Linked DNA regions of Neurospora crassa OR74A. The protein of the gene in region 1 interacts with the protein of each later gene in a pairwise test. Links are inferred from orthologs where the notes say so. Each region holds a gene or a part of one and is shown in the gene's direction. Other genes may lie near its edges. The genes, in order: NCU04307 and NCU17251.

What was found.
Region 2: the proteins of NCU04307 (region 1) and NCU17251 interact in binary tests that used the Saccharomyces cerevisiae proteins (3 or more experiments, as listed by UniProt). The link is inferred for Neurospora crassa OR74A from reciprocal best matches to the Saccharomyces cerevisiae genes UPS2 and MDM35.

What each region holds. Positions count from the first base shown.
Region 1 is NC_026505.1:5,568,201-5,572,797, forward strand, and holds NCU04307 (MSF1), read left to right. Parts: upstream 1-1,487; 5' UTR 1,488-2,230; coding exon 2,231-2,827; 3' UTR 2,828-3,821; downstream 3,822-4,597. Other genes in the region: NCU04306 (methionine aminopeptidase 2B), read left to right, coding at 1-337, 404-547; NCU04308 (hypothetical protein), read right to left, coding at 4,134-4,391. UniProt on the Saccharomyces cerevisiae protein: Required for mitochondrial cristae morphogenesis and MGM1-processing. Controls the stability of mitochondrial phosphatidylethanolamine (PE). With UPS1, controls the level of cardiolipin in mitochondria.
Region 2 is NC_026507.1:3,164,476-3,167,846, forward strand, and holds NCU17251 (hypothetical protein), read left to right. Parts: upstream 1-1,465; 5' UTR 1,466-1,785; coding exon 1,786-1,826; intron 1,827-1,878; coding exon 1,879-1,916; intron 1,917-1,977; coding exon 1,978-2,054; intron 2,055-2,122; coding exon 2,123-2,216; intron 2,217-2,271; coding exon 2,272-2,273; 3' UTR 2,274-2,628; downstream 2,629-3,371. Other genes in the region: NCU02256 (exosome complex exonuclease Rrp6), read right to left, coding at 1-77, 133-466, 526-1,103. UniProt on the Saccharomyces cerevisiae protein: Involved in mitochondrial distribution and morphology. Mediates the import of UPS1, UPS2 and UPS3, 3 atypical mitochondrial intermembrane space (IMS) proteins lacking the two major IMS-targeting signals, into the intermembrane space.

The sequences.
Region 1 (4,597 bases):
GCTTCCCGTCAAGTCCATCCGCAACTTGAACGGCCACACCATCAACCACTACAGCATCCACGGCACCAAGAGCGTGCCGATTGTCAAGAGCAACGACCAGACCAAGATGGAGGAGGGCGATGTCTTTGCCATTGAGACTTTCGGTAGCACGGGCAACGGCTACGTGCATGAGGAGGGTGAGGTTTCGCACTACGCCAAGCGTGGTGATGCAGCCAAGGTCGATCTCCGTCTGTCCTCTGCCAAGTCCTTGTTGAACGTGATCACCAAGAACTTTGGTACTCTTCCTTTCTGCAGGCGTTACATTGATCGTTTGGGTCAGGACAAGTATCTTCTCGGGGTAAGTTTTTGATGTTCGCTGTCTGTCAGCCCGAATCATTCTGTTGCTAATCGATGCGTGTTACAGTTGAACAACCTTGTGTCACAGGGTATTGTCGAGGCTTATCCCCCATTGGTTGATAAGAAGGGCTCTTACACTGCCCAGTATGAGCACACCATTCTGCTCAGACCTACCGTGAAGGAGGTTATCAGCCGTGGTGATGATTTCTAAGGGATTAATGGGGTAGCATAGCATAGGATAGGGTACGACAAAAAAAGTTCGGGATTTGTTTGGTTCGCGTTTTCTTCCTGTAATGTTGCTTGTAAAAGATTGTAGCACCACGAGTTCATGGTGATGAGTGCGCTTTGACAGGGAGAGGTGAAGGAAAGCTCGAGCCAGCCAGAAACTCAGCAGCGCGCAGCCATCAATCTACAGAGTGCTAGGACGTTTTGACACTTGGTTCGTCAATCTGTAACGGTTGTTTTAGCTGATGGCAGGGATTTAACGCTGGAAGTTTGAACTCGTTTAGCACATGAAAACTAACGTGTCATGTTTCAATATAGCTGGCTGTCGACCAGAGACGGAGGACAACCGGAGCATGTGCGGAGCTTCGAGAGCCAAGCCGGTCCCAAGAGATCCACTCGTACTCCGTGCAGGCCGCACAAATCGGACCCAGCGATCCACAACCGTACCGTACCGATACAGAGGCTCAAAAATTCCACGGCTTTCCAAATTGTCAATCAGCGGCGAAGAGTGACGGAAGCGATCACGGAGGCGGAGTGATCGACATCTGGGGATGACGGAGGTATGCCGGCTGTGACGTCTGCGGCTTTGTCAGATTCGCCGTGTCCGACCTGTCTAACCGAGGTGTGCGAATAAAAGACAGAACACTTTCTGGTGGGTTTTTGGTGCCAGTGTGTTCGGACTATTTTTTCCACACCTCGCCAAGCTGAGGCTGGTGGAGATTGACTGTGGAAAATGTGGCTCATCCCATTGGCTGACTGCGCAGCTGCGTTGCCACTTTTTTTTCTGGTTTATCACGGACCCGATAAGAATTCGTGAGACACGGGTGTGAACGGACCAACGGGGCTCAGTGAGCCACTAACTGAACTGGACCGCGCGGGGGCGTACAACGCTGGAAGGAGAAAAAAAAAAAAAGAAAGGCGTCACATTTCGGTTCCAATTGGTAAAAGCCGAGGAATATCGCGATGACAAGCGGCAAGTCATAAAGGCCGCAACCGCTCTTCCTCTGCTCCGTTCCGGTCTCGCTGTTTTTGAGGCTTCACAAAGTTTGTCCAACTCTGTTTTCAAGTGTCTCTCACTTTATAGTATTGCACTTGTTCTGCATTCCACTCCGCCTTGTCTACCTAGGTACCTTCACGCGACCACATACCACAAACAATTACAACCAATCTATCATTTTCCCCTTTTAGACGGGACGTACGTACAAGCGGTAGTGTCACAAGCAAACCAGGCACGCGCTCCGTTATCGTCGATCAACCCAAGGTTCCAGGCCGTTGTTCGGATCAACCGGTTTTGTTTACCCAGGGTCCCAGTCAGCTACTAGTCACTAGTCTAGCCCCTGCGAAAGAACTTTCTGCTGCGCTCCTCCGCTCTCTGCGTTATCACAAGCCAATCCTTGACCACCAAAAAGTCCTATTCTTGTCGTTGGTCCAGACGATTTCTTACAGTCACCACCACCACCATCACCACGCCCTATTTCTAGCTGACCGCTCGCTTGCGTCACCGCAATTGTCGACATAAGGATCGTCTTTCCCGTTCTTGCGGTCTGCTTTTTGTCAGCGCGGCGCTTCCGAGTCGAATTTTTTTTCACTTATAAGAGGAATCCATCTTGACACCACCTCACGAATCCTGACCAACAAACTCAATAAAACACATCGCAAAGCTATCAAAATGAAGGTCTTTTCCAACACAGAAACCTTCAATTACTCATGGGAAGAGGTATCGACTGCCAACTGGCGGAAGTACTGCCCATGGAACGAGAAGTCGACGCACGTTGTCGCCGTCGATACCATCAGCCGCAGCGTTGACCCTGCCACCGGCATCCTGCGCACCGAGCGCCTCATCACCTGCCGTCAGGCTGCTCCAGAATGGCTCAAGAGCATGATGGGCGGCGGCATGGACGAGTCGCAGGTGTTTGAGACTTCATACGTCGACCCCAAGACCAAGACCGTTACCATGGTCTCCACAAATATCACCTGGAGCAACTTGCTCAACGTCCAGGAGACCGTCGTCTACTCGCCCCTCTCCGATCACCAGACCAAGTTTCACCAGGAGGCCAAGATCACCGCTCTGGCTGGTGGCTGGCAGCGCATCAAGAACAGCATTGAGGACACCCTTGTCAAGAGGTTCCGGGAGAACGCGGCCAAGGGCAAGGAAGGATTCGAGTCCGTGCTGGCCATGAGCAGGCGCGTCTTCGCTGAGGAAAGGGAAAGGGAGAAGATGGGCCTCATCAGGGAGCAAGCTGGGAACATCCGCATGGCTGCTTAAGTCTCTTTTTGCGATCCGAGGTCGCTCTGAGATGCTCGATGAATTTCTGCATCGTTGGGGCAATTGAGTGACGGCACCATCATCACACATAACGGCAGCAGCAATGCCGGTAGCGCATCATCAAATCGCCTGCTCGATCACGACGCCGAATCACGACATTTGGCGACACACACACGTGTCGCGCACCCGCGGCAAGCAAACAAGCGATTGAGCTGAAAAAAAAGCTCCGGGCAGTTCCGTGCAGCAGGCATTGTCTGTCTCCTGGCTTGGCGCGGCATTAATGATGCATTCACTCACACACACACACACTTCTCTTTCTTTTTCTTTGCGATTGATGGGTTTACATACAAACAAAAGCGATGTCGTACGGAGTCCGGGAGTTTAGCCAAAAAGCATAGACTTGGAGTCAACTTCATTAGACGGCGTTGTTCGGTGTTCATTATTTACTCAAGGAGGGGGAAGAAGCGATGCATCTTCATTTTATCTTGCTTTTATTCATTTCGATATCCCAAATTCAGATGTGTTTCTATAGACTTGCATTTTCCTTTCCTCATCTTTTGTGTTCATCTCTGCGTTGTCATCCCCATCATGTCAAGCAGTGTTGAGGCGGAGTTTTCGGAGTTACCCCCTTATCCCCGGTTCATTTCTAGGGTTATTCTTGGGATTGAGCATGGAGGTCAAAGGAAACTGAAAATCATCATTTATCATTCCTTGCTTCCGGGTTTCCGAAACGGTTTGAAGGATGCGAGGGGTACTGATGGCCTTGGATGCGACGACCCGAGGACACGCGCGGGGTACGAAACTCCTTGTACATATCCTAGACGGTTCAGATAAATCGGGTTGCGGCAACTGCTAAGATGGAATTGGAAAAGGAGATGATGGACAGGACAGAGAGGGATGGAAGAGGGAAACTAGAGCATTTACAATGTTTGCTAGATCTCGTCATTCACATTTCAATTTTGAGATAAGAGACATCTTACATTTCCCTTCATTCAAACACTGCGTGCTTCATTTTGGGCGCTATCCGTGACTGCCGTTCGTATTTTGAAAGCCCATCGCGATGAACTCATGCTGAAATAATGCTTGCTTGTCCAACCTCGCGCTCACACCAAACTGAACGAACTACCATCTCATGTGAACCTCCAACCAAACCAACCCAACCTACCAACGCTGCACTGCATTACATCAATCAATCAAAGTAATCACCAACGCACGTAAAAATAAAAGGGTATCATTAATTCCACCAACCCATTCATCTCTTCCCCCATTCTCCCCTCCCCTTCCTTTTTTCTCCCTCTCCCAATTCTTACTGCCCATTCACCCTCAACCTCTCCCCACACCTCGTCTCATACAACCTCAACAACCCCGTCGTATCCCGATCAAAGAGACTGTCTCCCGCATCCTCCCATACCTTTCTCAGTAGCGCCACTGCCTCCTCGTACCTCCGAAAGAAGTAGAGTTCCTCCACTGCGTGCAAAATCTCTTGCGCTTCGGGCTTGTTGATGGTTCTGGTTCTTCCGTCTGCGGCGGTGGAGCCGAGGGGGAATTGGAGATGACGGTGGAACTTTTTTTGCGTGTTAGTTGTATGTAGTGTATGTGTATGTAGTGGGTGTGAGGCTTGGTTGGACTTGATGCACGGGGACGGGGAGCATTTTTATATGAAGGGAGGAGGATGGTAGGGGAGGGGGCAGGTTGAAAAATTTGATACTGGGAAAGGGTCGGAGGTTTGGAGGTTTGCAGGTTTGGAAGTGTGAAAGAGCATGAAGCTGA
Region 2 (3,371 bases), on another chromosome or scaffold:
GTGTCGAAGAGACCTACAACGTAGAGACCAAGATCTCTCTGCAGCCAGATGACATCCATGAAAGCACCGTGAAGAACCTGGGTCAAGTTAGTCGATAATACAGTGAAAGCAGAAGGCCAGGATGTGTCTCACCTTGACAATGTTGGGGTTCGCAAAAACCTCATTCAGAACCTCAAGCTTGTGCCTCCAAGGTTGAAGAGTATCAATGACCCAATCCTTCTCTCTGGTACTGATCTGCATGAGAGACAACAGTCCGGTGTAAGACCTAAAATCGTGGTGCTCCAGATCAAGCGCAATTTCCTTGGCCTGCTTGAGCTCCTCCAACATCTCCAAGACGCCCTCATAAGTATCAACCCAGATGGCGGATGTCGAATCGATAGGAAGGTACTCCTTGGGTTCGCGCTTCTTGTACACATGCTCAGGGTACGGTGTCGTCTTGATCTCGGTTTCGTAGGGGTGTTTGTATCTGGGAGATTCATGTTAGCGACATGCTCTTATGATATTGGAAAGAAAGGTTAGACGTACTGTGTGTTGTTGTCATCATCGACAAAGGTGGTCAGGCTGTCTTCCAGTGACACCTTGGCATGAGGCTTGGACGACAACAGAGGCTTCCAAGGACCGGTAGCGAAGTTATCGACCTTCTTCTCGAAGTTATTCTGTGGTTTGAGAATGTTGGCTCTCTTCAAGGACCAGTCAAGACGATCGTTAGACGACTTGACGCGTTTTTGGGCGCGGCCCTGGTCGGCGGGGGTAGGCGCATCCTTCCGCTTGATCAATCCGGTGTACTCGTCGAGGCAGGTGTCGGCTTTCTCGAGCAACGAGTCGATCACGTCGACAATGTTCCGCCATTGGATGTCCACGTCGTCGGCATCTTCAAGAGCGCCAACCTTCTGGCCGGTAAGATTCGCGGTCGACTTGAGGAGCCCGTTGGCCAGGGACAGAAGGCGGCCGGAGCTGTTGTCGAGTTGACCACCGACAGTCGGGTTGACGGTGCGCTGGAACTGAAGATCCTCGCTGGCGATTGAGTTGGCGGTTCGGGTCGTAGCGACCAGGGCGGCTTGGAGCGATTCCCTCAAGCTCTTGAAGTCCAGTGAGCCGTCCATATTGGCCGGTGGTTCTGGAGTCGTTGTGGTGTGGACGTCACTGGAAGTGGAAGCCCGGTTCAATTTTCCAAAAATGGTTTGTCGTTCTGCTGCTCTTTGGGAACTTTTTTTGCGGACAGTCCCAGCATGTGGCTTGTGGAGAAAGCGCCAAAGTGAACGGGACCTCGAAAAGTGGAAGCTGCCCGATGGATGCCATCAAGTGGGCCTCGAGTGAGCTGTTCCCGCTCTGCGCTGGTAGAGGTACCTGATGGCCCATGCTGGGAAGTAGAAGCACTAAAGTAGAGAGACTTTGGGCAGCCGATTACATAAGGCCAAGGGGGCGCTTGCCAAGAGCCAAGATTGTGCTGATCTGGACCACCAACGTTCGTTCATCCATCGGCGTCCAGGCTTTTGAGATCCGTCCTGTGACGAAGTGGAAGTCCGCAACCCCATTGTTGAATAGCACCTGGTACTTGTTGGTTTCCAAGCGGACTCACCGGTGAACGTTGATATTTGAGATTCCGTACAACCGTCTTTTCCACCAAAAATATTCACCTGGAGTATCTCACGAACACCCTTCTATACGATCTTTTGCCCAAAACATAGATATACCGTCGATACCCATAAGTCATCGGACACCGTACCAAGCCTATCGTTTTGTTGGCAACACCTACGGTTGAAAACATAGCTCTGGACTTTAAAGATGTCCCAGTCACTCGCCAAGGAATGCAACGAGGCCAAGGAGTAAGTTTTTGTCCTTCATACGGAAAGAAAACAACATCTTAACCAGTTGTAGACGTTACGACACTTGCTTTCTCAAATGGTACAGTGAGAGTAAGTCTACAGGAACAGACACCCCAACTCAGTGGACATGTGTGATACTTATACTGGACAGAATACCTTAGGGGCAATGGTACCGAACAAAATAACGAATGTTCAATTCTCTTCAAGGAGTATAGCTCTTGCCTGCAGGTAGGACGCAAAACCATACAGCGCCCGTACTCTAGCATCGAGATAGCTTACCATATGGCATTTTACAGGTTGCTTTGAAAGAGCGTGGCATCGACAAGCTGCTTGAAGAGGCGCGGGAAGAACTCAAGGACAGCGACTCAACATACATGGGCAAGAAAAAATGTGAGTTTGAGCTTACGAACATGGCCAAAGTTGAAAGGATGACTGACTTGCTCAGAATACCAGAGCTGGACGACGTCTGAGTACCTTACTGTACCACTCGTCGACCAACTCCTTGAACAAAGCCGCAACAATCCAGTTATTCTCCTTACATTGCTCAATTATCTCTTCTCCGTATATATCATATATCGCCTGGTATTCGTGGAAGGACTTTCCATTATGCACACCCTCCATGTCTTGAACAAAGCCCATGTACCAAAAGTGTCACCCGCTGGTCTTTGACTGTACCTTTCTGATTATATCTTCTGTTGAGTTGTTTTCAGTGCTCTCTGTTATGGACGGAAGCCATGGATGACTTCAAGTCGGTTGAATGTTCCCCTTCCAAATAAGGTTTCCCGTCCTTGAGAAGTGGATCCTCCCCAACATCCAATCGGTTCATTACAGAGTGCCGTGCAGTCGCAGCCAGGTCGGGTTGCGCTCGGGGACTCTGGCTTCTGGGCGCTAGAACTTAGAACGCTCCACACTCCCTGTAATACTGCCTAAACTGCTTCGATAAACTTCAGCGCGAGTCTGAGCCGAGTCTGTCCACCACGACACGACACATAACGCATCTGATCGCCCTGCTCCCCCGTCCCCGTCCCAAATCAACAAGTTTTCGGCTTCCCGTTGTGCTTCCCGTCAGTACCAGCTTTGCCCGACTTCGACCTACCTAATCCAACCTCTTCGAACCGTCGAGTATTGTTTTCCCCCTCCCATTACAGCGCCCGCCAATTCCTCATATAACCGCACCCACTATCCGCCCGCATTTCCTCTCCCCACACAAGGGAAAGTGACATCGGACTACAGCATCTACCGGCCCAGACTTTTGCCGCGATCGCATGCTCGAACAGTAAGGGGCAGCGCGCCTCTATGCACCCCTTTTCTGTTCTTACACTCGGCATCTTCGTAGCTGGGTATATCACCGCCCGATGGGACCTCGTCACTCGCCTATATGAGCTTGCCATATTCGCTTGGAACTACGGAGTGGTGGTAAGTGTCACATGCCATGGGAAAGAGGGAAAAACTGTGGCACTCCGCCCCCGGCCAACCACCATTGCGCCGAAACAGCAACAGCCTGGATCGCTAACCTTGTGTGTCAATTCGTCTCTAGACTCGGGC